Oryctolagus cuniculus: one gene and its partners. The protein of the gene in region 2 interacts with the protein of the main gene of each other region in a pairwise test. Links are inferred from orthologs where the notes say so. Each region holds a gene or a part of one and is shown on either strand. Other genes may lie near its edges. The genes, in order: AP1M1, RUNDC3A, EIF3E, CCNL2, SDCBP, RAP2B and RAP2A.

Region 1 (3,500 bases), on a different chromosome or scaffold from region 2:
GGGGCACCAGGCCCACGCCGGGCCGGGGAGGCTTCCATCCCTCAGCCGGTGCCGCCCGTGCAGAGGCCTGGACCGGGAGGGTGTGGGGGCCTCGGTCTCGGAGCTATGCTCCTGTCCCAGGTCTCTGCACAGAGATCCAGGTGGTCAGAGCCCTGTCCCTCCTCCCTGCCCTGCCCCCGCTCACTGTCCATTCAGAGGGAGCCGCATCTGTGTACAGCTGCCGAGCAGCCTTGAGAGTCCACAGAAAATGTGTGATGAAAAAACTGGGGCCGGCGCCATACCACAGTGGGTACGGCCACCACCTGCTTCCCATATGGACACAGGTTCGAGTCCCGGCTGCTCCACTTCCGACCCAGCTCCCTGCTGAAGCCCCTGGGAAAGCAGCACATAGTCCTGGGAACCCTGCCACCCACGCAGGAGGCCTGGATGCGGAGCTCCTGGCTCCTGCCTTCAGCCTGGCCCAGCCCAAACCATTGCAGCCACTGGGGGAGTGAACCAGCTGATGGAAGACCTTGCTGTCTCTAACTCTGCCTTTCAAATAAACTTAAAAAAATTAAAAAAAAAAAAAAACAGGAAAAAAGTATGCATGGATTTCAAAAACCTCTTGTACCCAAATGAACCTCTTTTAATTCCGTTTTAATTTTTAAAACTATTAATTTGAGAGGCAGAACTCCCATGCAATGGTTCAGTCCCCCAGATGCCCACAGTGGCCAGGACTGGGCCAGAACCAGAACCAGGAGCTCTAAGGAGGCCCAGTTAGCTGGGCCCGCTGCCTCCCAGGGTCTGCCTTAGCCACACCCTGGAATTAGGAGCCAGAGCCAGGAATCAAAGCAGTATTGGATCTGGGTGGCTTAATTCCCGGGCAGAACGGGCAGCCCTGGTTCTGTTTCTGCCGCGAACTTTTTCAAATACCTCCTGGTAGCCTGGCAGCTCAGGGTGGGGCTGGAGGCAGCCCCCACCAAGTCCCTGCTGGCCCCAGTCTGGAGGAGATGCTGAGGAGGGGCCCCAGGCCTGGTGCTGTCTGGCAGGGGAGAGTGATTGGGCTTTGGACTGGGCCTGCGAGGACCTCCAGCCTACATGTCCCAGCCCAGGGCCCCGGCTCAGCCCCGGGAGGCGGGCAGGGCCAAGGGACCGGCGCTCACCTGCTGTCCCGGTTGCCGGCTGCTGCTGCAGGTGTTCTCCGAGTACTTCAAGGAGCTGGAGGAGGAGAGCATCCGGGACAACTTCGTCATCATCTACGAGCTGCTGGATGAGCTCATGGACTTCGGCTACCCCCAGACCACCGACAGCAAGATCCTGCAGGAGTGAGTGGGCGCCGGGGAGGGGGAGGGGGTGGGAGAGCAGGTGGGGCCTCTTCCCCGTGCCCCTGCCTGACCCCGAGCCCGTGGCCCCACAGGTACATCACGCAGGAAGGCCACAAGCTGGAAACGGGGGCCCCGCGGCCCCCCGCCACCGTCACCAATGCAGTGTCCTGGCGGTCGGAGGGCATCAAGTACCGGAAGAACGAGGTCTTCCTGGATGTCATTGAGTCCGTCAACCTCCTGGTAGGCGTCCGTCTGTCCATCTGTGCATCTTTGAGAGTGTCCTCTTCTCCGTGATGGCAACAGACACAAGCAGGATGGTGCAGCCAGCGAAGCCCTGGGGGCCAGGCGGTCCCCTGCGAAGCAGATCAGCCCCTGTGGCCGGCAGCTGGTTTTAGTGTCTCCCACCAGCACTGAGCGCCAGCACGCGTGTCACCACGTGGTCGCTCCCTGTTCCCTGTCTCTTCCCACAAAGCCCGGTCACAGGACGGCCCTCCCTCACAGCTTGTTTTCTGTTTTGTGCGTGGTTAGGTTTCTCTTTCTTTTATTTTACATTTTATTTACTTACTTAAGAGGTGGAGTTACAGAGAGTGGGAGAGACAGAGAGAGAGAGAGAGAGAGGTCTTCCATCCGCTGGTTCACTCCCCAGATGGCTTAACGGCCGGAGCTGTGCCGATCCAAAGCCAGGAGCCAGGAGCTGCTTCCGGGTCTCCCATGCAGGTGCAGGGGCCCAAGGACTTGGGCCGTTTTCTACTGCTTTCCCAGGCCACAGCAGAGAGCTGGACAGGAAGTGGAGCAGCCGGGACTCGAACCAGCGCCCATATGGGATGCCGGCAGTGCACCTGGGGGCTTTGCCCGCTCCGCCTGAGCGCAGGTCCCTGCCTTTGTTTCCCTTCTGAGTCTCTACTCATGCAGACATGGGTGCTGATTCCCCTGACCTGGACATAGAACCTCCACACGTGGTCTCTGCTGCCCCCTCAGGGCTGAGCAGGCCAAAACCCGGAGCCAGGAGCTCCATCTGGGTCTCCCACATGGGTGCAGGGGCCCAGGGACTTGAGCCACCTTTTGCTGCTTTCCCAGGTCATTAGCAAGGAACTGCATTGGCAGTGGCACAGCTGAGACTACAACCAGCGCCCATATGGGACGCAGGCGCTGGAGACCGCAGGTTTACCCGCTGTGCCACAGCGCCGGCCCCCTGCTGAATTTTGATTGGTATTGCGTACACGTCACGTCTGTAGATCAGTCTGGTGAACTTCGGCATTTCCATCGTGTCACGTTTCCCAGTCCGAGACCCTGTCAGTCTGTTGTGGGGTGGGGTGGGGGTGTACGTGGCTGTAGACGGCCAGGTGCTACGTCAGTGTTTGGGTGAGTGACCGCATGTATGACAGTGGTCCCAGGAGAACCTACAGCCTGGGCAGGGCTCGCCGTCTCAGTTTCTGTGCTGGTCACACAGTGAGAGAGTCGCCCTGTACGTGTGCTGTCCGGTGTGTGCGGGAGCTGTTTCCATTTCTGAAGCTGTTGTCAGTTGTCTATTCTTAATTTCATCCTCCAGTTGGACGTCACAAGGGTATAGGAATGTGACTGCTCTCTGTGTTGACTGTAGCCTTGCTACACTCACTCATCTGAGGGGTGTTTTGTTGTTGTCATTGTTTTAGATTTATTCCCCTAGGGGCCGACGGTGTGGTGTGGCAGGTTGACTTCCGCCTGCAGCGCCAGCATCCCGTACGGCGCTGGTTTGAGACCCTGCTGCCCGATTTCCCATCCGGTTCCCTGCTCACTGCCTGGGAAGGCAGCGGAGGATGGTTCAAGTGCTTGGGCCCCTTCCCCACGTGGGAGACCCGGAAGAAGCTCCTGGCTTCGGCCTGGCCCAGTCCCGGCCATTGTGGCCATTTGGGGAGTGAACCAGCAAATGGAAGATCTCGCTCTCCCTCTCCCCCTCTCTCCCTCTCCTCTTCTCTCCCTCTCCTCCTCTCGCCCCTCCCCCTCTCCCTCTTTGTAACTCTGCCTTTCAAATAAATAAACACGAGCTCGTTCATTTGAAAGGCAGAGTTGGAGAGTGGGAAGCTGGCGGTCACGTCGGGTGTCTTCCTGCACTGTCGATGTGCGTGCCGCGATGGTTTTCCCAGCCCCACACTCCTGGAACGGCCCTGGCTGGTCTCGGTTTCCTCTTCTTCCCCTGCGTCCCTGGGCCTCAGACCA
Region 2 (3,955 bases):
GGGGAGAGCCATGGGATGCCGGTGTGGCCAAGGCGCTGGAACCACGCGTGCCCTGTCCCTCTCCCAACCTTGTGAAAAACCTGAGGCTCCCTCTGCTGTTCCCACCCCTGCAGTCTTCACCTGCCATCCCCATTGCCCTGTCGCGGGTGGCAGAGCAGGGGCGGGGCAGGATGTCCAAGGATACGGGAGCTGTGTGAAACTGTCCTTTTTCTCTCCCCTTGGAATGTGCCATGCATGCAATACGGCCCTGGGAGGCAGGGTCTGTCTAACCCCATTTGACAGATAAGGAAACTGAGGGGCCCTAAGAGGTCAACTGCTGTGTCCAGAGCCACAGAGCTCACAGGGTGTATCTGACTTGCAAGCCTACGCTCTTGCCGCTATGTCTTATGGCCTCCGGATGCCTGTCACCAATCACCCTGCTCTCCTCTGCCCTCCGTACTGCACTCTGCAAGGTGACAGCCCTGGAGTACCGGCTTCCAAGGCTCTCAGGCCATGGCATAGCTGAGCCCGAGCCCACCCGCTGTGGGCTTAGAGTTGGACCGGCCTGAGGTCAGAGGCAGGTCTGGGTCAGGGCTGCATTGGGGAGAGGGAGCCTGCTGCATTCAAATTGTGTCCTTGGGTGCACGCAGGGTGCTGGGATCTGCCTCACTAACGCTGGTTCAGATCCCACTGCCTTCTGCCGGTGGGCAGGGAGCTGGGCCATCACGGGAAGGCAGCCTGTGCGCAGGGCGTTTTCTGGGCCTCGTGATGCATCTCCTTCCACTTGGTCATCTGGGTCAGCCCTCCATGGGGGCCCGGGGCTGGATTTGGCACGGCAGCCATCTGCTGGACTCCTGAGGGCTGCTGCGGAGCTGGTCACGGCCCTGGAGCCCCATGGTGTGCGCCCTGGTAGGAGGTGCAGTGGCTGCTGCGGGTTACCATGGAGACGAGGAGGCCAGGGCCCAGGGGAGCCTGCGGCCTGCTAACGGGAACTGTTCTGGGAGCTGGAGGCGAACCATGTGACGGCAGGCATGCAGCAGAGGCCTGAGGGGCATCTGAGCCTTTGTCAGGGTCTGGATATCCCCCAGCTCTAGCCCCCTCCGGTCCTCCAGAGCCCTCCTTCCCCCACACCTGCAAGAGGTTCAGCCATCCTGGCACCTAGGAGGTCAAGAGCAGAGACAGGGGCAGGAAGGGCGTCACCAGGACAGGGCTGGTGCTGTGTGCGGGAGGGCTCCTCCGAGGCATGCCACTCCTGCGCCCTGGGGCGGCTCTCGCAGGTGCGATGGGGATGATGAGGTGCCCAAGGCCCAGAGAGGGTAGGAGACCTCGCCAAGACTGCACAGCCAACAGGAAAGAGCTTGAACTGAGGACTGTCTGGCTCCACACTGCCAGGTCTGTGAGGATGAGGGCAGAGGCCATGGCTACACTTGGGCTGCCCTCCTTCCTCCCATCACATCCGGGCATTTTCCCAGAGGGCTGATGCACACAGCACTGTGCCTGGCACTGGGGTACGATGGTGTGAGACAGACGCAGTACCCTTGGGTGTGTGCCCAGGAACCTGGAAGGAGCTGTGGGAGCCAGGAGTGCTGGCATCAGGTGGGCACCAAGCACCCTGCTCTGGGAGGGCACCAGCTGGCAGCAGCGGGGGCAGAGGGTGCAGGTGGATAAGGCAGCTGGCATGGGGCTCCCAGAGGGAGAGGGGCGTACGAGCATGGGTGCACTGTAGGAAGAGGGGCTGAGACGCTGGCCGTTCCCAGCCTTGGCAGGACAGGACCGTGAGTCACTGCACGGCTGAAGGCTCCCTTCTCGGGGCCCAAGAAAGCAGTCAAATCTTCCCCAATCCTGCGGCAGCCCCACCCTCCACGGCCAGCGGCCCTGCCCTCCCAGTCTCCTCTGCCTGAACCAGGCTTGGGGACCCAAGGCCCGGGTTCTCCTCACAGCCCGGGAGTGCCCCTCACCCTTCACTGGATGGGCCTGGGGGCTTTGCCCACAAGCCCAGTGTGACCCCGCCAATGGCTGCCGTTGTAGGGGAGGCGCCGTCTCCTCCAGGATTTGCGCGTGGCAGTGGAGAGAGGTCAGACAGGGGGTGGCCATGAGGGTGCGTCGGAGGGCGCTGCTTCCCCCGTGGGTGCCCCTCGGCCCGTCCGCCCCCGCTCCCAGCCCGGGAGCCAGCCGTCCCCACTCCTCCCCCTCGCGCAATGTCACTTCCTGGTGTTCACAGGAAGCTGCAGTGCCAATTAAGCCCCCTCACCTCCAGGCCCTAGGCCGGGCAAAGGCCTGGCCTGGCTGGGAAGAGTAAGGACCGGCTTCCATGCCTCTCGGTTCCGGGCCCTGGGGAGGCGGTGCGTGCGCTCCTCCTAACCCTTCGTCCCCTCCCGTCCGCGGCAGCCGCGCTCCGCCCGGGCTCCGCAGCCCGCCCAGCCTCTGCCCCGACCGGCGGCGCCCACCTGCACACGGTGATCAGGTTCCTGCGCTCCACGACCACGTTCCGGGAAGACGCTTTCTTGGAGGACAGCCCCAGAGCCATGGTGGTCTGGACAAAGCTCGCTTCCATCCAGATGTGCGGCCACTGCTGCCGCCGCCCTCTGCCCTCCACCCCTCCCGGGGGCCCGGCCCCCCTGCCGGATCACGGCTGGGCGCTCAGCCCGCCGGAGCCCATCGACCCCTCCGCGGCCATCCCTCTGCCTCTGCGCCAGGTGCCCGGCCCCCTCGCTCCCTCCCACGGCGGCGATTCCGAAGCAAAACAAGGCCGGGGAGGGAGCTCTCCGAGGTGCTGAGCCGGTCCCGTCACCCCCCCTCCCCCAGCAGCCCGCCCCCCTCGGCCGGTGACGTCAGGGCCCTCGGGCCCCGCCCCCCAGCAGGCCGGGGACCAATCCGCAGAGGGTGCAGGGGTTGAGGGGAGGGGGAGGTCTGGGGCCCCGGGGAGGGCCGAGGGGGTCCCCGGGAGATGCGGAGATTCGAGGGTGGAACAGGGGACCTGTCTTCCACCTCCGGGGGTCCTCCGCTCGCTCTCTGGGCTGCGACACCTACTTCCTGCTTCTGACCTGTGACGGATGCTGATGGCTATCTCTCGTCCCCTCCCCCTGCCCCGGGGGACCTGGGGAGTGGAGGTCCTGCATCCCGACCCCGCCCCCACCGGCTGCCCGGACGTCCTCAGCGCGGCCGGATGGCGTTTGCTGAGCCCGGAGGCCAAGGAGCCGACCGAGGGACTGCGCATCTCCAGGCCTGTCTGTGGCCAGGCTGGACTTGTCTTCAGGGCCGGGCGCAGCCAACTTCCCTCGGGGCTGGAGGATGGGAATGCAAACGAAGCCGTAGCAGCCCAGCGCCGGGAACCACCCGGGGCGGAGACTGGGGGAAGACTGGTAGCTAAGGGCTGGCTCTGCGAAGGTTCCTGGCGCCCACAGTCGCGGTGGCACCTAGGCGACTGGAGAGGGTGGCACCCAAACCCCTCACCACCTCAAGGGCCAGCTGGTTCAACAATTAACCCCTTGGTTGCCAGCATTGCTGGATGATGCCATCAACCTTCTCTGGAAGCCGGGCGGGTCCTGCAAAACAGGTTGCAGCTTTTACTAGAGGGGAGAGGAAGGCCTAAGCTGGCCCCCCAGGTCCCTGCTCCCACCTGCTCCGTTCCTCTGTTCAACCCGTGCCACTGCCCATGTTTCAACTGGGTTGCTTGCTTTTCGTTGGTGTTGAGTTTTAGTTCTCTATATCGACTAGCTATCAATCCCCTACCAGACGTGTGCTTTATCAATATTCTCTCCTGTGGGTTACCTTTTTACTCTCTTGCATTTGTCTTGTGATGCATGCAATTATAAACTCTCCATAAAGTCTTTGGTCCATTTTGAGTTAATTTCTGGATATATTATCAGATAAGGGTCCAAACTCATTTTTTTATTTACCAAAAACCATACGTTTATTTTACCACTACCCACCACTGCATTTGCCTCAGACAGGTACCCAGGGAGGTGTCTGCAGC
Region 3 (3,500 bases), on a different chromosome or scaffold from region 2:
TGTACTGTGCTATTGAGTAAAATGAGGTGAACAAAGGGGGACCCCTCTACTATTTTTACAACTTCCTATGAATATATTACTATTCTAAAATAAAAAAAAATTTGACACACAAGGACATTCACATCAAAATAAAATAAACCATGGCCAATTTTATTCAAATTCTCCAAAATTTATATTCAATATGTCATTTCTAAAATGTATGTCACTCTTTATACAATGGTTCCATTATTTCATCTTTATTTTGTAGTTTTTTTCATCTTTTCATTACAGTTCTTCAGTAGAAGCCAGAGTCTTGAGTTGCCCAGTTAGGAGCCTAAAATATGTAGAGAAACCGACAGGGTGAAAGAAAAATACTTTCCAAAACAGCCAATACAGAAAAAAGTGACATAACACATACTTTAGCACTACTACTGCCAAGCTGCTTTAAGGCTTTCACTTTGCAATCACTTAATATGAGTTGCCCCGTCAAAATGTCACCTGATACTGGGGCCTGTGTTGTGGCATTAGCAGGTATCCCACATGGGCACCAGTTCATGTCCTGGCTGCTCCAGTTCCCTGTCAATGGCCTGGGAAAAGCAGTAGAAGATGGCCAAGTGCTTGGACTCACTCCACCCACAGAGGAGACCACATAAAGCTCCTGGCTTCGGCCTGGCTCAACCCTGGCCACTCTTGGGAAGTGAACCAGTGAGTGAAAGACCCCACCCTGCTTCTAACCCTGACTTTTAAATAAATAGATAAATCTTAAAAAAACAACAAAAATTCAGGGTTGGTGTTTTGGCACAGTGGGTTAAGCTGCTGCCTGTAACACCATATTCCATAAGGATGCTAGTTGGAGTCCCGGTTGCCCTAATTCCAATCCAGCTCCCTGCTAATATGCCTGGGAGGGAAGTGGAGGATTGCCAGTCTTGGTTCCCTGTACCCGTGTGAAAGACCCAGATGAAGTTCTGGCCTGGTCCAGCACTGGCCGTTACAGCCATCTGAGGCGTGAACCAGCAGATGGAAGATTTCTCTCAGTCTCTCTCTCTTCCTCTCTCTAACTGCCTTTCAAATAAATAAAATAAACCTATATTAAAAAAAAGTCAACTGATACAGGTCTGCCCAATTAAAAAGAGAAACACAAACATTGGAACAATAATGGATAATGTTATATATAGAAAAATACAATATAAAAGTAATTTTCCAGGCTCAGCTATTCTTGGCCTTGGCTGGGAAATGAAATTCCTATTCTAATTCATCCTTCTCTTTTAAAGCTAAAGGACTAAGCTAAGGACAACCCAGCCCCTAAAATTTAATCTAGTAAGGCCACTGAATGTCCCATAACTGCTTCTCATGCCTTCCTATTCTCCAGTTACACATAATCATGTCTAAAGAGAATTAAAGATGGTTTTTGGACTCCAAAATTACAGGTACATTCAAGTTCCTTCAACACCTAACCGGGCTCACTACCAATACAGGGGGCTAATGGTTATTTTTGGGGTTTTTATTTTAACTTATTTGAAAGGCACGACACACAGACACAGAGAGATCTTCTATTTTCATCTGCTAGTTCACTACTGAAATGATTCCAACAGGGGCCCAAGAACTACAGCAATTAACTGCTGCCTCCCAGAGTAAACAGAAGGAAGCTGAATTGGAACCACAGGCAGGACTCAAACCCTGGCTCTCTGATATGGGAAGTGGTCTTCTGAGGCAGCAGCTTAACTTTCCGTGCCAAAATGCAGCCCCGCAGAACTATCTTTGAGATTTAAAGAGCATAACACTTATCATAGACTCAGAAGAGGACTACACATGAAAATTATCACTTGCCAATGTCAAAATTGTATGTTGAAAACCCTGGATATTAGTTAATGAAATCACACAGGAAGAGTAAAAGAAAAGAAAAATAGTTTAACTAGGAACATAATTTTTCCCCAGTTTCCTGACTAATGTATATAATAAATACAGGAAAAAATTGCATTTAGTCATTTCTTACATAAAACATTCATTCTCTTAAGTAGAAATACAAAGACAGATACAATGAATAGTAAGATGTTCTCAAATGGAGTTCAAGTAACAATTATGTTACACTATTGCTAAATTCCAGACAGAATCAAAATCTGTGATTCTTACCTCTGACCTACTATTCTGATTAAGTTTCTTCTCAATATTCATGGCCAACATCTGGCTTCTAAAAGAAAGGCTTTTGGTCTTTTCAATCACTTGCTGATAGGGTGAGACTGCATTGTTTCCCATAACCACGTGGCCCTAAAATGAAAACAGCAAAATTAGTCTTTTATTATGCTTTTTGAAGTTTTGTTGATTTATTTATTGGAAAAGCAGAGTGACATAAGAGAGGGAGAGACAGAGATCTTCCAGCCACCGGTCCACTCCACAAATGCCCATGAGTGAATTCAGGAACCAAGAACTCCATGCTGACATCCCCACATGGGTGGTAAGTCAAGTACTTGAAACATCATCTGCTGCCTCCCAGGTGCACTAGCAGAAAGCTTATTGGAATCTCAGGCATTCCAACATAGAATGCGAGTGCCCCAAGCAGAAGTTTGACGCACTGTGCCATAACACCCACCCCTGTGCCTTGTAATAGTAATAAGTCATGAGTATGACCTAACAACACTATGGCACACATTTTACCTATTTTTATAGGGATGACACCATTTATCCAGTTAAGGAAAAATGGGAGGTTATTGCTGCTGCCTAAAAATATGACATATTAAACTCTTAATTGAAGAAAATGTTCTAATTTAAAACTCCCAGAAGGATGAAACAAAATTAATATAATACTTACTAATTTGGAATCAATCTTGGCATCCAGTCTTGCATTCCTAATCAAATTCACAATCCACCTTTCAGCTTCTTCTGGAGTCATGTTCAGTTTATCTGCCAACATACTAATTAAAAAAAAAAAAAAAAAAAAAAAAAAAAGTTAAATGGGCCCTAAGAGTTACTTTTTGGTACACAGTGTTTGATCCATATTCTGCACTCAGACTTGTAGTTATTTCTAGGTCATCTTCTATTACATATCATGACTATCCGCATTGTTCATACTTATATTGTCTTGGACTGTCCATAACCTATTCTACTTCACCACATAATAAATCCCTATAGGAAAGGTATCATGTTCTGCATTTATGGAAACCCTTCCAGCTTCTAGAATAGTACCTTACACTTGGCAGGTGCTCAACAAGTAATGTAAGGAAGAAAATATTTTATGATATATAATGATTATATGACATATAATGATTATATACAAACAAAGTAAACCTTCTACAAGGAGCATCAGCATCTAGTGAAAAACCTCACTGAAACTCATGACTGCTGTGGAAGTTTCTGGGATAAATTATACTCTATAACCTATATGGCTCCTGAAACACACTCAGGAAGGGAGGATGTGGGATGAGGGAAGGGAGAGAGTGTGAGATCAGTCTCAAGACCCTGACCTAAAATAGGTATTGGAATCCATATTTTATAGTTTTCCAATTCATAATCAGATTGAAGAGGGC
Region 4 (3,500 bases), on a different chromosome or scaffold from region 2:
GCCGCGGGGAAGTCCTGCGTGGAGGGAGGGTGACGGCGGCTCCCGGCCGCCATGCGGGCTCCGGCAGGAGTATTTCCTTTGTCTTCAGTATAATCTTTAAAATATTTGAGAGGCGGGCCGGCGCCGCGGCTCACTAGGCTAATCCTCCGCCCAGCTGCGCCGGCACACCGGGTTCTAGTCCCGGTCGGGGCACCCGATTCTGTCCCGGTTGCCCCTCTTCCAGGCCAGCTCTCTGCTGAGGCCCGGGAGTGCAGTGGAGGATGGCCCAGGTGCTTGGGCCCTGCACCCCATGGGAGACCAGGAGAAGCACCTGGCTCCTGGCTTCGGATCAGTGCGATGCGCCAGCCGCGGCGGCCATTGGAAGGTGAACCAACGGCAAAAGGAAGACCTTTCTCTCTGTGTCTCTCTCACTGTCCACTCTGCTGTCAAAAAAATAAAAGAAATAAAAGAATTGTTAAAAAAAATATTTGAGAGGCAGAGTTAGAGATCTTCCATCCCCTGCTTCATTCCCGAAGTGGCCACAGTGGCCAGGGCCTGGCCGATCCGCAGCCGGGAGCCTCTTCCGGGTCTCGCACGCGGGTGCGGGGTCCCGGCCGCGTTAGAGGGAGCTGGATCAGAAGTGGAGCCGCCGGGACTCGAAACGGCGGCCATGTGGCGAGGCTTACCCTGTATCTTTTATTTATTTGTCAGGCAGAGGTAGACAGAAAGGTCTTCCTTTTGCCATTGGTTCACCCTCCAATGGCCGCCGCGGCTGGCGCATCGCACTGATCTGAAGCCAGGAGCCAGGTGCTTCCTCCTGGTCTCCCATGCGGGTGCAGGGCCCAAGCACCTGGGCCATCCTCCACTGCACTCCCGGGCCACAGCAGAGAGCTGGCCTGGAAGAGGGGCAACTGGACTAGAACCCGGGGTGCCCTCGCCGCAGGTGGAGGATCAGCCAAGTGAGCCGCGGCGCCGGTCCCCCGTATCATCTTTTATAAACGTTTATTTGAAAGGCAGAGCAGCCTTCCATCCGCTGGGTCGCTCCTCACATGGCCGCAACAGCCAGAACTCCAGCTGAGGCTCCCACGTGGGCGGCAGAGCCCCAAGCCTGGCCCCTCCCCTGCAGGCCCTGGCCGGTGGGCCCCCCCCTCCCCCTGCACACACCGGTGCCCGCAGCCTCGCTGAGCAGTGTGGAAAGGCACAGCCAGGCTCGGCTTTCGGGGTGCTCCCCGGGCCCCCCCGCATCAGCAGCGGTGGGAAGAGGCGACTGCAGGAGCTAACTGGGGGCCCCGGCCCAGGTGCTGTCGGCCAGCCCGGGAGCTCCCACAGGGCAGCAGGAAGCCGGCTCACTGGGGCTGCGAAGCAGCCTGCTCAGGGCCTGGACCCCGACCCACAGGGCCCCCAGCCAGGCCGCACGCAAGCCTAGGAGCCCAGGCCAGGAGTGGAGGCAGCCGGCGGGTGGAGCTGAGGGAGGGAGCGGGAGCCAAGCAGCAGTGTCCAGGGTCCGCAGGATGGCCGCCCCGCAGACGTGCCTCGGTGCACAGGCTGCCTGCCCAGGGCCCCCGGGGTGGGCCACCCGTGTTGTGCTCCCGGCGTGTGGAGCCACGCTCCCTGGTGCCGTGCCTGCCAGGACCATGACACGGAGACCGCCGGCCCTTCCCTGGGCTGCCTCGTTCCTCCTGGCACTCCCCAGGGCCTGCTGCCGCGGCCCTGCACCCGATCCCAGGGCAGTGGTCCCACCGCTGCCCCCCAGGCCCCTGGGGCCACTGCTCAGAGGTGCGTCCTGGGAGGCGACCACCAAGGTGCCATGGGGAGAGCCAGGCTGCGACTCCTGGACCTCGGAGCACTTCCGTCGGGGCCTCAGCTGCCGCCCACGGCCGAGCAGCGGCACAGGCACAGGACGGCTCAGGACAAAGCCAACACTTTAATGAGCAGGGAGTCGGGCAGCAGCTGCCACGGCCCTTGAGTGGAAGCCAGCTGGGCCAACTGGACAGGCCAGCATGTCGGCGGCCAGTCTTCAGTGTCCGCATGTCCTGAGTAGTCTATCCATCCACACGTAGCAAACTCGAGGAGCTGGTGCCCGCACTCAGCACTGCAGATAAAAACAGACGGCTCCACACGGAGCCAAGTACCTTCTCGTCTTAAAGATCAGGATGCCCCACGTGGGCCAGCGCTCAGCCGGCCCAGTCCGGGTTCCGAGTGAGCGTCCACACGAGGCTCTGACCTGTGTGCCACACGCCTGTCCACCGCGTGCTGAGCCCGAGGGGCTAAGGCCGATGCCTCACCCCAACACTGCAGACAGGGGCCCGAGAGCCGCTCTCCGGGAGTCGCCACCGGGCCTCGGGTCAGGAGGGGGACAGCCAGACGTTAGCACCAAGCCACACCCACAGGGCCCTGCGCCCTGCTCTTCTGCTGAGCTGCCCGTGGGGTCCGGCCGAGGTGGGCCTTGCACAGGGGCGCCACCCGGCTCCTCAATGCCATGTCCAGGTTCACCTCAAGGTCCAGCATCAAAGACCATTTCCAACCAGAACCGCGCTCAGGCCGCTGGAGCCGAGGGCCTGGGCAGGTCCGGGTCTGCCTCACCTCCGGTGCCGGCTGTGCCCGGGGCGGCCCCGATCGTGGCGACGGCCTGTGCGCTCGTACGACCGCGAGCGCTCCCGCCGCTCATCTCGGTAGTAACGACTTTTCTTCTTGTATTTGCCAGAGTTTTCTGCCCGCTCCCGTGAGCGGCTTCGCGAGCGGGAGGAGCTGCGGCTCCGAGACTTGCGTGGCTTCTGGGGGGGGCACTTGCAGTCCTTGGGCTTCCGAGGGCCCCGCGCCTCGGAGCTCCTGCAGGGGGCGCTGCGGGGCGCCTGCCGGGGCGGCGAGTCGCTGCGGCTCCGGGAGCGGCTCTGAGACTTGGACCCGCCGGACGTGGAGCCGCTGTCACTTTTCCTGAGGAAGGGCACACTCCACCCGTGTGACCGCCGGACCCGGCCAGGGCTCCCACAGCACCTCCAGCCACCCTGGGGGACTCCCACCCACGGGCCGGGCACGCACCTCCTCTTCGGGGACGTGGACCGGGAGGGGGACGGCGAGCAGCTCTGCCCCGGGCTCCGGCTCCGGCTCCCGCGCGCCTTGGGCAAGCTGTGAACGGCAGTGCAGCGGCTGCAGACGGCGCCCGCGGCCGGCCCCGCGCACCGGCGGCCCCGCCCCTTACCCGTTCACCGGGCTGTCGGCCTTGGCTCTCCTCTTGGTGTCCTTGACGGGCGGCGGGGAGGGTTGGTTCCCTTTGGCTTCCTTGGGGGATTCCACTGGGGTCAAGCACAATGAGAACCACTCAGAAAACTGCTCCGAGGAAGCAGCTCAGCGCAGCCGCTGCCAGCCTGGACGGGTGCGTGCGTGCGTGCGTGCTCACACATGCGCACCGGCTCCCCTCGGGCCGTGGGCGTCCTGACTGCCAGCATCAACCTGTGGCGCCAGTGACGAGCCCTTCAGCGGGGGCACCGTGCTGCACCGAGCCACCGCCGGGACGCCCACCC
Region 5 (4,008 bases), on a different chromosome or scaffold from region 2:
GCTCTGGCTCCTGGCTTCCGATCAGCTCAGCTCCAGCCATTGCGGCCATTCCGGGAGTGAACCAGTGTATGGAAGACCTTTCTCTCTGTCTCTCCCTCTCAGTCTGTAACTCTACCTCTCAAATAAATAATTAAAAAAAAATGCTGTCCATTTATCTTCAAAACCAAGAAAATTTAACATTTTTACAATTAAATTATCAAAATTTCTAAAACAGTATTATCTCCTTTCACTTAGACAAATTCATGAAATGGCATAAAAATGTAAAACGTGTTCACTGGCCTTAGACGGTAAAAAGTGATGATGATGATTTCTAGCATGCTGAGGGTAAGATTCAGTATAGTTCCCATTGGTATTGAGGAACACAGTTAACGAAGTCCTACACTTGGCCAAAAGGCAGAGAAGCAATACTTGATAAAGCCCTAAACAATCTTCCAGAGACTGTTTCCCAAACTTGGCCAATCATCAGATTAGAATCACCTGGGGCATTAGTTAAAAATAGCTTCCCAGGCTGACACAGATTTCATGGAATGGACTTAAGAACTCTTCTTTTTAACAAATATCCAGGGGGATTCTGCAGATCAGCCATTGAGCAATCCAGCCACAGGAAGTTCCCATTCTGACTTACAGGACTAGCAAAAACCCAGTTTAACAACACTTGCTGATGCAAGGCTTTGAGAAACACCTATGCATCACCAGTTTGGGGAGTGTAAAAAAAAAAACACACAATTTTCATGAACAATGGGTGCCCGGTATCTATGAAAATTATAAATTCAGATTCCCTCCCACCCGGTCATATAACTTCAAGTCTTCAGCCTAAATATACATTTGCACAAAGGAAGCAACATGCACAAAACTAAGAGTTCCAAAATACTTTGATTGGAAAATAAATGCATGATGTACAGCAGTATATAAAGTATTTTAATTGGCTCATTGAAAGGAAAGAAATATATTTGGACATTCGCCTGCACAGGAATAAAATCTCTGGACGAAATCCAAGAAACTGAAAACAGCGGACAGCCTATCATAAAGTAATACGGTTGGCTAGACGACACAAACAGGAGATTTTTAAACCGGATACTGTTTTAACTGTGGCAGTCCTGAGTCAGTGACTGCCTACCTCCTCAACGAGGAAATAAATTAAAAAAAAAAAAGTTGGCAGCACTTGGAAAGAAATAAATGACAATATAACTATCAGGTGTAGGAACTCTTTCAAAGTTGCTTGGGGGAGTCTTTTCACAGTCTTTTGGCATTTACCTTTAAAAAGTTCCCCAAACTCAAAAAAACAGGAAAAACAAATAGTTGAGTAACTCTTCATTTCAAAGAACTGTTTTAAGTACATTCAAGTGTCAACCATCAGCAAATTATTTCCCCTTCGTTCCTGATTTTTATAGTTTCTTATAATACCCAAAACAACTAAAATTAATGTTGCCAGAGTTAAATTTGAACTAGGATGAGGTGACCATTCACTTAACTTTTTAAACGTCATTTCCTTTTGTTTATTCTGTAACCCAAACCACTTGGTTTATGTACCCTTTAAGGCACTAAAGTTTACAGAGCTGAGTAACAGATTAGGTGAAAACAATTTTTTTTTCTATTTGCACTAAACTTCAAAATAGGAAACTGACCAGATTAGACAAATTTGAGTTCTCATTGATCACACAGACTTTTAGAAATCAATCTAATTAGAAGGCCTGCAGCTGCGTTTCGACTTTCCCTTTTTAATCCAACAGTTTTCTCTTTAAAACAAATGGATGTTTAAGAATTTGGTAAACTGAATGTACTTTCTAAGTAACGTCCTTAACGGGAAGAAAAAGAAAAAAAAACCTGGTAAATTTTTAAGCATAGAATACAGTCAAACCAGGTAACCCTAGAAGGTCCTTTCAAAAATCACACAACAGAAGACGCTAATGATTCCGTAATCCCAGCGCGGTGAAAGGAAAAAGTTTCCATATCCACACTGCCTGCACTTCCCCATTATTCCAAGGAAATCCCGAAACGAAAGCTCTGAGTCACCAGATCTCAAAGGAAATACGCGTGTTTCCTTCCGAACACACCCCACTGGAAACGTTCTTCCCTCGGCTCCAACTTCTCCAGCACCCGGCGCGGAGCCGCGACCGCTTCCCCACCCCCTCCACAAAGTCAAGGCTTCGCCCGCGGAACAAACACCGCCCTCTCCCCTCCCGGAGCCCGGGCGTTCCTGGCGAGCCACCGAGGAAGGTGACTGAGTACAGCCCCAGGAACGCCGAGCACCGGGAGGCTCCGTGCCCAGCGGCTCCTTCTTCACCCACCTCCGGAGCCCCTCTCTCGAGGAACAACAAGGGTCCAGAAACCCGTCCCGGAAAGAGAGCCCAGAGCCGCGCGGGGCTGCGGGCGCCGCCAAGAGCGGGGGCCTCGGGGTTCCGTCCACCCCACCCGCGGTCCGGCGGGACCCCGACTCCGACGGAGCGCGCCGCTCCCGAAACTTCCCTCCTCAGGCCCAGCTGGGGGCAGGGAAGGACGCGCAAGCCCCCCGAAGAGCGGGCGTCCTGCCTCCGCCGCCTCCCGAAAACCGCTGTGACGGGGGCGCTTTCCGTTAAGTGGCCCGAGCGGTCCACGTCCCTTGTCCCCCGAGCCCGAGGTGTCGCGCGGACGTCTCCCCCTCGTTCCCAAAAGCTGCTCACCTAGACCACAAGGACTCGCTCGCCGCCGCCGCCGCCGCCGCCTCGATCACTGATGCCGACTTCCGAGACCCGAGAAAACGAGAGCGGCGCGCGCCCGAGGACCGCCCGCCAGGCGCGTCACGGCACCGCCCCCCCCCCCACGGGGCCTCGGGCCCGCGCAGGCGCACGGCGCCGGGTCAGGTGATCCGGTCCCCGTGGAAACCGGATGGCGGGGGGTGGGGCGGGGCCATGGAAACGGGGGCGGAGCGTGGGGGGCTCTCTTCTGGGGTTCCAAGGGTCACAAACGTCTGGCCGCCCGCACCGCCCACCGTCGGGGGCGCCAGACTGCCCAGCGAGGATGCCCAGTCTGCCCTCTGCGGTCCCGTCGCCTTATGCTCAAGGAGACCTCGGGACCCGCTCACTGCGTGCGTTCCCCCGCCTGCGGTCACCTGGTTGGCTTCTAATACAAAGAGGTACCGAGAAGCCAGCCTTCCTCTTGGAAGGTTTTCCTTGCCCAGCTTCCGGCTTCCGTCACTGCTGTCCAGCAGTCACAGTACCCTGCTGGTAAACTCCTCCCAAGACCCTTTCTTAACTCCTGCCCCATTTATCTGGGTTTTTTGTTTGGGCTTTTATTACTTTTAACGTTTGTTGTTAAAGAGGTGTAATATTGTGCAATGATAGCTGTAGCCTAACACAAAAACTTAAAAACTAGCGTTTCTTGAGTGCTATGAGCTAGGCATTATTCCAAGAACTTAATGTATATAATCTTATTTAATCTTTACATCGAACTGTAAGATAGGTACCAACGACCCATTGCAGAGTAATCAGTTACTTTGAAATACCAGAGCCCTTGACAAAATATCATTAATTTACAAGAAGTTTATTGGTAACTAATAAAAATCTGGGCACAGAAGTGATGACCTGTAATAAAGTTGCCCTTGGGGAGCTTATAGTTTAGCTGATGTGAAAAACATTTAAAAACAATCACACAGTAGCTTGGGAAGGGAACACTTTTTTTTTTTAACATGATTGTGATAAAATTCCTAAGAACTGACTCATACACACAAGCTAATAAACAACTGTAGCAAAGCTGCAGGGTATGTTGCTGAACAACCCCGAAGTTGCTATAGAACCCCCAAACCTGGGTCCGCTTGCCTGATACGCAGAAAGCCAACCACTGACATTGGGGTGGCAGATGAAAATAGGTATGTACTGCTAAGTGCAGCGCGAGGAGCTGGACAAGCTGTTGCTCAATTTCCAGGCTCTCAAGCACTTAGAGGTGAAGGTTCTCGTAGACTGAAATTGGAGCTGAGAGGCGTATAATCAGCTCACATCCCAGTCCGCGGTTGGTCAGTGGCGCTCCTGACCT
Region 6 (4,193 bases), on a different chromosome or scaffold from region 2:
CTGCTGCCTGCCCACGCCCTCGCCCTCGCCCTCGCCCTGGGGCGCAGCTGCCAAGGCCAAGTCTGCTGGGCAGGTCCCGACACCTCTGCTCGGCCGGGCATCGCGCAGGCTCGGGGCAGGTCGAGGCAGCTCCCCAGCTCCTCCCAGGAGCGGGGACGCGAGCCGAGCCCAGTCCAGCAACTGCGCGCCCGACAGCGAGGATGCTAGGGAAAAGGCAAGCCAGGGCAGCCCCCCTAGCCCTCCAGCGCCCGTTGCTCATCGCAGCCCCGCCGCCCTCGCTGCGGAGCCCTGGCAAACTTTGCAGGTCCTCGCGCGCGGGCCACTGTCACCAGCCCCTTCTGCACCCTGGACGGGACAGTCGTGACCGGGCGAGTCAGACGCTCTCGAAAACAGCCACAAAGGGCTATATTTAGTTCTGCGCACCCCGCCTAAATTCCTTTTTTCACTCTCCGCTTCCAAACGACTGGGTTGGGGTGGGGGAGTGGGAGGAAGGGGGCGGGGAGCCGCGGAGAAGGAACAGCTGGGCCTCCACCTCGCCGCTCAATCTCTATAAATACCCAATCGCCGGCGGAGGCTACTTTTCAGCCAATGAGGCAGCCGCACCGGAGAGACCCTTGGCGGCAGCCAATGGGAGGCCCTTCGGGGGTGTGCGACTCACGTCCTGGGACCAATGAGTGCGGAGTCTGGGAGAAGTAATTTGAGCTGGCGTGTGGGTGTGAGCTGCACCAAGCTTCCTACTTCCAAGCCCCAAAAAACCTGCTCTGCCGACTGAGCATGCCCTAACTGCGGGCCGCCGGCACTGTCAGATCCGGGCTCCGGGTTTTGGCCGCAGCACAGTGGGGGAGGAGGTGGGCGGGACCCTCTGGGACTCTGCTGGGATGGAGCCGCGGGTTCCCCAGAAGCTGTTTGTTCTCGGATGGGGACAGTGACCCAAGGCACTAGAGTTACACCCCGTTCGCTCTGTCCCGGGAACTGGCGGAGCAGCGTTTCCGGGGACAACGGCTTACCAAGGGCTTTGCCAGGGCTTCGGGGGCTGCTCTGCCCAGCCCGCACCTGCAGCGGTCCGGTCCGCGGTCCGCGCTTCTGGCGGCCTGCACCGGCCTTTGGTCATGGGATTCCGCAAGCGCGCTCTCTTGGCTCGCCGGGCCTTAGCGCTCGCGTTCGAGCACGCCAAGCCCCTCTGCCGCCCCATTCCCCCGCAGTGTGCCTGCTGCAGTCCCACAAGCTCGCGTCGCCCCGCCTCCACTCCCGGCGACTCCGCTCGCAAGCCCCGCCCCCAGCCCCGCCCTCTCGGCTCGGCCCCGCAGAAAACCCGGAGCGGCCGCTCGGGCGGGGCGCGGCCTGCGGCGCACTGGGCATGCTCGCGCGGGCGGGGAGGGCCGGGCTGCGCGCGGCGAGTAGGAAGCCCTCGCCCCGCGGAGGCTGCAGGCGAGAGCGCGATGGGCCGCGGTGGTGGGCGCACGTTCCGCGGGGACTCATGCCACGAGTGTCCCGGTCCGGCGCGCAATTAGCAGCCGCCTCCGCAGCCCGCCACCACCGCTGCCCAGCGCTCGCCGGCTGCTGCGACGAGGGGCTGCAGCCGTCGCCGTGCCTTAGGCTGCCGGCATTGTCCTCTGGTCCGCCGCCGACCGCTGCGGGGCCCCGGACCCGCGCCCCAGGGACGCGCCGCCGCCGCCGCCGCCGGCCGGCCGGGCGCGCGGCCCCCGCTCGGAGATCCGCGCGCCCCGCGCCGCTCGGCCGCGGTCTCCCGGGTGTCTCCTGCGGCGCTGAGGCGGCGGAGCGGTCCGGCCGCCCAGCCCAGCCCTCCGCGGCGCGCAGCCCCGACGGGGCCGCGGCGGGCGCCTGGCGAGTGCTGACGGAGCCATGAGAGAGTACAAAGTGGTGGTGCTGGGCTCGGGCGGCGTGGGCAAGTCCGCGCTCACCGTGCAGTTCGTGACGGGCTCCTTCATCGAGAAGTACGACCCCACCATCGAGGACTTCTACCGCAAGGAGATCGAGGTGGACTCGTCGCCGTCGGTGCTGGAGATCCTGGACACGGCGGGCACCGAGCAGTTCGCGTCCATGCGGGACCTGTACATCAAGAACGGCCAGGGCTTCATCCTCGTCTACAGCCTCGTCAACCAGCAGAGCTTCCAGGACATCAAGCCCATGCGGGACCAGATCATCCGCGTGAAGCGGTACGAGCGCGTGCCCATGATCCTGGTGGGCAACAAGGTGGACCTGGAAGGCGAGCGCGAGGTCTCGTACGGCGAGGGCAAGGCCCTGGCCGAGGAGTGGAGCTGCCCCTTCATGGAGACGTCGGCCAAAAACAAAGCCTCGGTGGACGAGCTGTTCGCCGAGATCGTGCGGCAGATGAACTACGCGGCGCAGCCCAACGGCGACGAGGGCTGCTGCTCGGCCTGCGTGATCCTCTGAGGCGCCGCGGCCGCCACGCGCCCCCCGGGCCGCGCTCCGCGCACAAAAGCCAAACGCACCGACTCTCCCCGTGGGATTTCTCGTCCGGCTTTGAGATGGGAGACGACTTTGCAGTGGCCAGGGCGTCCCCAGGAGCCTCCCCCCCTCCCCCCCACGCTGGCCTCCACGCCCCGTGTCCGAGGGAGCGCCCCGTCCTGCCCAGCCGACACCGTGGTGGAAATTGGGGCTCTTTGCAGCATGTACGTTCCTCATTGATTTTGGTTGACGCCCGTTTCCTCCCCCCTCCCCCCTCCCCCGAAGGCGCAGTTATTGGCAGTCTGACACCCACCCGGCAAGCAAAAGTTTCAGCCTGGAAAAAGATGGGGGAAGGGGGGAAGGGAAGGAAGTGCCGGGGAAGGAGGAGGAGGGGGTGTCCGTTTTTGTGTGTGTGTGTGTTGGGGGGGTAACAACAACTGTTTTCTATTTCCAAGTTTTAAATACGTGGAAGGAAGTCCGGGAGAACCATATGAAGGAGCAAGGAGGAGGAAGAAACTTTTGTGTGTGTTTGTGTGTGTGTGTGTTTTTCCCTTGTTTTCCAGGAGTAGCTGGAATTTAAGATCGGGTTCCTTTTCTGCCAGCTTGGAAGGGCGACCCTGTGACTGATTGCGATTCTGAGGATGTCTATGCAAAGTTGGATTCTTGTTACAGTGTATCCAATCTGAAGTATTGCACATCTGAACTGGGACTGTTAACACTGATGCCAATACAGTGTGGGGTGCCAGAAAGTGTCTGCTGATATTTGTGGAAAAAAAAAATCTATTTTGTTTACCTACTGTATCAAAGGGGAGCCTGGGGGAGAATGGTAGTATTTTTTTTTATCAGCTGTGAAAAAAAATGTTACAGATCTGCACATTTTCTTGTGTACTATTTGTGTGTGTGTGTGTGCGCGCGCGTGTGTGTTTTATAAATTTAGCTTTTAGGTTTTTCTTTCTTTCTTTTTTTTTTTTTTTTTTTTTTTTTTTGGTTGGCAGTAACAGATTTTAATGACTTGCTTTTACAAATACAGTACCAGGACTTTGTCAATGTGATTCAGGGCCCCCAGCACCCCTGTGTCTGCAGAGTGCCTTCAAAACTCAGCTGTTCCAGCCGGTGCCAACCTGTGAACTTCCCATCATACCCCAGAATCTGCTATCCCCCAACCACTTCTCAGTTTCCTTTCAGTAATCTTCCTGAAGGAGCCAGGACAATAGGACCTGTTGTTCAGTGAATTTCTTTATTATTTTCAGCCTTTAAAATGTAATTGCCATGTTTTGCAATGGGTTTCTTTTTTTTGTTTTGTTTTCTTGGCTTCATTTTGTTCCAATGTTCAGGTATTTAGCTCCTTTTTTATATTATTTTTACTTTTTTTAATTATCTGTTATAGGGTGTACCTCCAGAAGCAAAGAGCAAAATTTTACTGTTGTGATGTACCAAGGGAATTCTAATTGTAATTTTTAATTCCATGTGTTTCATCATTGTCTCTTCGTTTTAAGACTTTTAATACAAATGTCATTTTAAAAGAAACAAACCCAGAATTATTGTTTGTGTTTCTGTGTTTCGTATTCAACGATTTAATGCAGTGTCATGGCTGAGTTGGACAGGTATAGGTGCATGATGCTCTCCAGAGTTGTTTGCCAAAATTTGAAGCTTGGTGACAAGCTGGTGATGTTACTTCTCACTTAAATAGGGAGGAGATCTGCCAGGTGTAGGAAGCCCTGGGTCTGGCCAGGTCACCTGACTGCCTGAGGAGCAGTTGTGCT
Region 7 (3,500 bases), on a different chromosome or scaffold from region 2:
GCATAGTTCATCTGTCTCACAATTTCTGCAAAGAGTTCATCCACCATTGTTTTACTCTTAGCGGAAGTCTCCATAAAGGGGCAGCCCCACTCTTCGGCAAGGGCTCTGCCTTCATTGGACGATACTTCTCGCTCACTCTCCAGGTCTACTTTGTTCCCAACCAAGATGACTGGCACTTTCTCATATCTGTGAGAAAAGAAACAGAAACACAAATATTGTAGTAGTTAGCACATAACAAAACAGAAAAAATGTTGTTCAGTTTTCACTATATTCTGCTGTAAATGGGCTCTTTAGTTGCATGAACAACTATTTGCACCCTTGATCTGACACCCACCTGAGAGCATTTTTAGGCTATTCATTTATACATTTTTTAAAAAGATTTATTTGAAAGTGAGAGTTAACACAGAGAGAAGGAGAGTCAGAGAGAGAGAGAGAGAGCTTCCATCTGCTGGTTCACTCCCCAATTGGCCACAACGGCCAGAGCTGTGCTGATCTGAAGCCAAGAGCCAGGAGCTTCATCCGGGGCTCCCACATGGGTGCAGGGGCCCAAGGACTTGGGCCATCTTCTGCTTTCCCAGGCCATGGCAGAGAGCTGGATCAGAACTGGAGCAGACACAACAGGAACTGGAAACTGGTGCCCATATGGGATGCCACACTGCAGGCAGCGGCTTTACCCGCTACGCCACAGTGCCATCCCTATATATCCTTAAAAAGCAATTTGCCTTTTCAGATACCTTTGGAAAAATATTCTCAGAATTTCAGGCTAAATCTGTAGGATCATTTAAAGTTTTTTTTCATTCTAAGAGCTGTTTACTTGAAGTTCCCAGTTGATCATGTAATAAATAGTTCTAAGTAAACAAACACAATTGTCAGAATATTAGTACCTTCTTTAAGTATCTAAAACTAATCATGTTCTAGTAAGTTCCTAAACAAGTAGTAGAAATCATAAAGGATGGAAACCACGAAATATAACTACACTTGATTCCTTTATAAAACTATTAGAAATTAGCTAGATGAGAGACACTGTTTCTTTTAAGACTGACAAGGATGACACACACTTTAATCATTAGCTTTATTTGATGTTATTTCTTTTTCTTCCTAACCAAAATTGATCTGAGTTAACATATTTAGAAGAAACTCCACTGATAAAGCTAATATGTAAGAAGAAAAGAACAAAACAAGTTCCTAAATCACTGAGGTACATTAAGATGGGGGCTCCACAATGGTTACTCCACATGGGCACAACAGACATCATGGAGTAAAAACAACTAGTTTGTTTATTCACTATTCTTGTTTGCACTTGTTCTAACAAATGTAGTTAACATATTTGCCCAAGATTATCATTTTTACATTAAAGATAGTTTTAGGAGTTTGGTCGGGTGAGACAGGATTTGGATGGCATTGTTAGCATTTAGGATGCTGATCAGATAGGTAGTTAACAATCCCCTCATCCTGTCAAGATGGTTTCACTTACCTAACTTGCACAACAAATCCTATTCCCCTTAGAACCTCACTTTTCCCTTTGACACTACATCAAACCAAGAATGGTGGTCCCAGTGAGTGAGGGCATGCTCCAGGAAGTATGTCATTTAGATGTAAACCATAATGCCAACTTAAAGACGAGTGGGAGTGACATCACCCAGGGTAAATCTAGACTTTGGGTATTATCACTTGCAAAAACAAATGAACCTGGACAGATCTAATTTCTATCAAACAGCTTCAACATGAATTTATTGAATACCAACTGTACCTTTTGATTTCAGCCTTAGATCATGCTGGTAGCTCTGAACATTGGACCCAAATGTTCTTCACATCTTCTAGGACTCTTACCTACCAATATGTGTACCCCTGGCCTCAGGCAGGGCGAATGGCAGTGAAAATGAAGCTGTGTCATAAAACACCATGTAGCAGCTACTTTGCATGCAGGCTCCCTTGACGTGCTGTACAGAGGAGCTTGGCAGCCAGCTTACACTGCCGGCTGTGTCAGAACAATGTCAGTTTTTAACTTGTTTTACTTGCAAAGATGTAACTGCACTGCAGTTTTCTTATGAGTATATACATAAGAGTATGCTTTGCTTGGCAGTGAAGTAACTTTTTTATATAATTTTTTATTTATATAAAGTGAACAAATTTCATGTATTTCATATATACATATATTGGAGGATAGTAGTACTTCCTACCCTACCCTCTCTCCTGCTCCTCTCCTCCTTTTCTTATTCTTTTAATTTTTATAATGACATACTTTCAGCTTATTTTATAATCATAAGCTTAACCCGCCACTAAGAATTCAAAAATAGTAAGAAGAAAAAAACACTGTTCCTCAATGGTGAAGACAAGGGCTGTAAACAACGATCAAATCTGAAAATGTCAATTTTACTCATATAAACATGAATACAAAGGGGAAATTGTACTAGTTGAATTTAATTTCAATCTCTGTTTACCATTCAAAGACCAAAAGAGGTAAGAGGTAGGAAATCAATTAAAAGGAAAGTGATATGCTATCACTTGCTATTATTAAGGAGTAATATTTCAAGGAAAAATTTTTTAGTTTAAATATAGTATTAAGCAAGGGGTCTTCAAAAAGTTCATGCAAGATATATTATGAAAAAAGGGTGGATTTCAAGATTTTTTTGCACAAAGATAAACTTTTTAATGTTTGGTACCATAGTTTTCAAATATATATATTTAAAGATTTTTATTTATTTCAAAAGCAGAGATACAGAAAGAGAAGGAGAGACAGAGATCTTCTGCTCACTGGTTCACTCCTGAAATGGCTACAATGCTGGGACTGGGCCATGCCAAAGCCAAGAGCCAGGAGCCAGGGTCTTACATGTGGGTGGCAAGGGCCCAAGTACTTGGGCCACCTTCCACTGCTTTCCCAGGCACATTAGCAGGGAACCAGAGCATGCGGGACTTCCATGGGTACCCCTGTGGGATGCCAGCACTGCAGGCAGAGACTTAACCTTCTATGCCACAGGACCAGTCCCTTTATGAATTTTTTTTTTAAAAAAGAATTATTCATTTTGAAAGAGTTGGAGAGAGAGAGAGAAATATCTTCCATCCACTGGTTCACTCCCCAGATGGCTGCAACAGCCAGCACTGGGCCAGGTCAAAGCCAAGAGCCAGGAGCTCCATCTGGGTCTGCTATGTGTGAGGTGGAAGGCCATCTGCTGCTTTCCCAGGCCATTAGCAGGGGGCTGGATTGGAAGTGAAGCAGCCAGGACCCAAACCGGCGCCTCTATGGGACACCGCCATCACAGGTGGTAGCTTAATCTGCTATGCTACAACCTTGGCCTTCTATGAACTTTCAAAGTATCTTAGTAAGGAGGAAATATTTCTTACACTTCTATTTTCAAAGGATCTATCACATATGTGGATGCTCAAACCTTACAAATTTATTAACAGCTGTAAATACACTGTTTAAATCAAGAACTTGAATCTTGGCAACAATGTGAGTCTCAAAAGGGCAATTAGACCAGTATAAGCACAGGGCTGTATGT

The links.
Region 1: the proteins of RUNDC3A (region 2) and AP1M1 interact in binary tests that used the Homo sapiens proteins (3 or more experiments, as listed by UniProt). The two-hybrid records come from large-scale screens. The link is inferred for Oryctolagus cuniculus from reciprocal best matches to the Homo sapiens genes RUNDC3A and AP1M1.
Region 3: the proteins of RUNDC3A (region 2) and EIF3E interact in binary tests that used the Homo sapiens proteins (3 or more experiments, as listed by UniProt). The two-hybrid records come from large-scale screens. The link is inferred for Oryctolagus cuniculus from reciprocal best matches to the Homo sapiens genes RUNDC3A and EIF3E.
Region 4: the proteins of RUNDC3A (region 2) and CCNL2 interact in binary tests that used the Homo sapiens proteins (3 or more experiments, as listed by UniProt). The two-hybrid records come from large-scale screens. The link is inferred for Oryctolagus cuniculus from reciprocal best matches to the Homo sapiens genes RUNDC3A and CCNL2.
Region 5: the proteins of RUNDC3A (region 2) and SDCBP interact in binary tests that used the Homo sapiens proteins (3 or more experiments, as listed by UniProt). The two-hybrid records come from large-scale screens. The link is inferred for Oryctolagus cuniculus from reciprocal best matches to the Homo sapiens genes RUNDC3A and SDCBP.
Region 6: the proteins of RUNDC3A (region 2) and RAP2B interact in binary tests that used the Homo sapiens proteins (3 or more experiments, as listed by UniProt). The two-hybrid records come from large-scale screens. The link is inferred for Oryctolagus cuniculus from reciprocal best matches to the Homo sapiens genes RUNDC3A and RAP2B.
Region 7: the proteins of RUNDC3A (region 2) and RAP2A interact in binary tests that used the Homo sapiens proteins (3 or more experiments, as listed by UniProt). The link is inferred for Oryctolagus cuniculus from reciprocal best matches to the Homo sapiens genes RUNDC3A and RAP2A.

Annotation. Positions count from the first base shown.
Region 1 is NC_091447.1:64,736,438-64,739,937, forward strand, and holds part of AP1M1 (AP-1 complex subunit mu-1), read left to right. Parts: intron 1-1,173; coding exon 1,174-1,304; intron 1,305-1,396; coding exon 1,397-1,544; intron 1,545-3,500. UniProt on the Homo sapiens protein: Subunit of clathrin-associated adaptor protein complex 1 that plays a role in protein sorting in the trans-Golgi network (TGN) and endosomes.
Region 2 is NC_091448.1:18,967,078-18,971,032, forward strand, and holds the start of RUNDC3A (RUN domain-containing protein 3A), read right to left. Parts: upstream 2,801-3,955; 5' UTR 2,534-2,800; coding exon 2,427-2,533; intron 1-2,426. UniProt on the Homo sapiens protein: May act as an effector of RAP2A in neuronal cells.
Region 3 is NC_091437.1:133,416,678-133,420,177, forward strand, and holds the end of EIF3E (eukaryotic translation initiation factor 3 subunit E), read right to left. Parts: intron 2,889-3,500; coding exon 2,786-2,888; intron 2,245-2,785; coding exon 2,110-2,244; intron 314-2,109; coding exon 275-313; 3' UTR 130-274; downstream 1-129. UniProt on the Homo sapiens protein: Component of the eukaryotic translation initiation factor 3 (eIF-3) complex, which is required for several steps in the initiation of protein synthesis.
Region 4 is NC_091438.1:164,147,183-164,150,682, reverse strand, and holds part of CCNL2 (cyclin-L2), read right to left. Parts: intron 3,273-3,500; coding exon 3,179-3,272; intron 3,106-3,178; coding exon 3,019-3,105; intron 2,914-3,018; coding exon 2,559-2,913; 3' UTR 1-2,558. UniProt on the Homo sapiens protein: Involved in pre-mRNA splicing. May induce cell death, possibly by acting on the transcription and RNA processing of apoptosis-related factors.
Region 5 is NC_091437.1:83,752,871-83,756,878, reverse strand, and holds the start of SDCBP (syntenin-1), read right to left. Parts: upstream 2,801-4,008; 5' UTR 2,661-2,800; intron 1-2,660. Other genes in the region: uncharacterized protein, read left to right, coding at 2,866-3,203. UniProt on the Homo sapiens protein: Multifunctional adapter protein involved in diverse array of functions including trafficking of transmembrane proteins, neuro and immunomodulation, exosome biogenesis, and tumorigenesis.
Region 6 is NC_091435.1:127,889,249-127,893,441, reverse strand, and holds the start of RAP2B (ras-related protein Rap-2b), read left to right. Parts: upstream 1-1,393; 5' UTR 1,394-1,863; coding exon 1,864-2,415; 3' UTR 2,416-4,193. UniProt on the Homo sapiens protein: Small GTP-binding protein which cycles between a GDP-bound inactive and a GTP-bound active form. Involved in EGFR and CHRM3 signaling pathways through stimulation of PLCE1.
Region 7 is NC_091440.1:14,994,598-14,998,097, forward strand, and holds part of RAP2A (ras-related protein Rap-2a), read right to left. Parts: intron 187-3,500; coding exon 1-186. UniProt on the Homo sapiens protein: Small GTP-binding protein which cycles between a GDP-bound inactive and a GTP-bound active form. In its active form interacts with and regulates several effectors including MAP4K4, MINK1 and TNIK.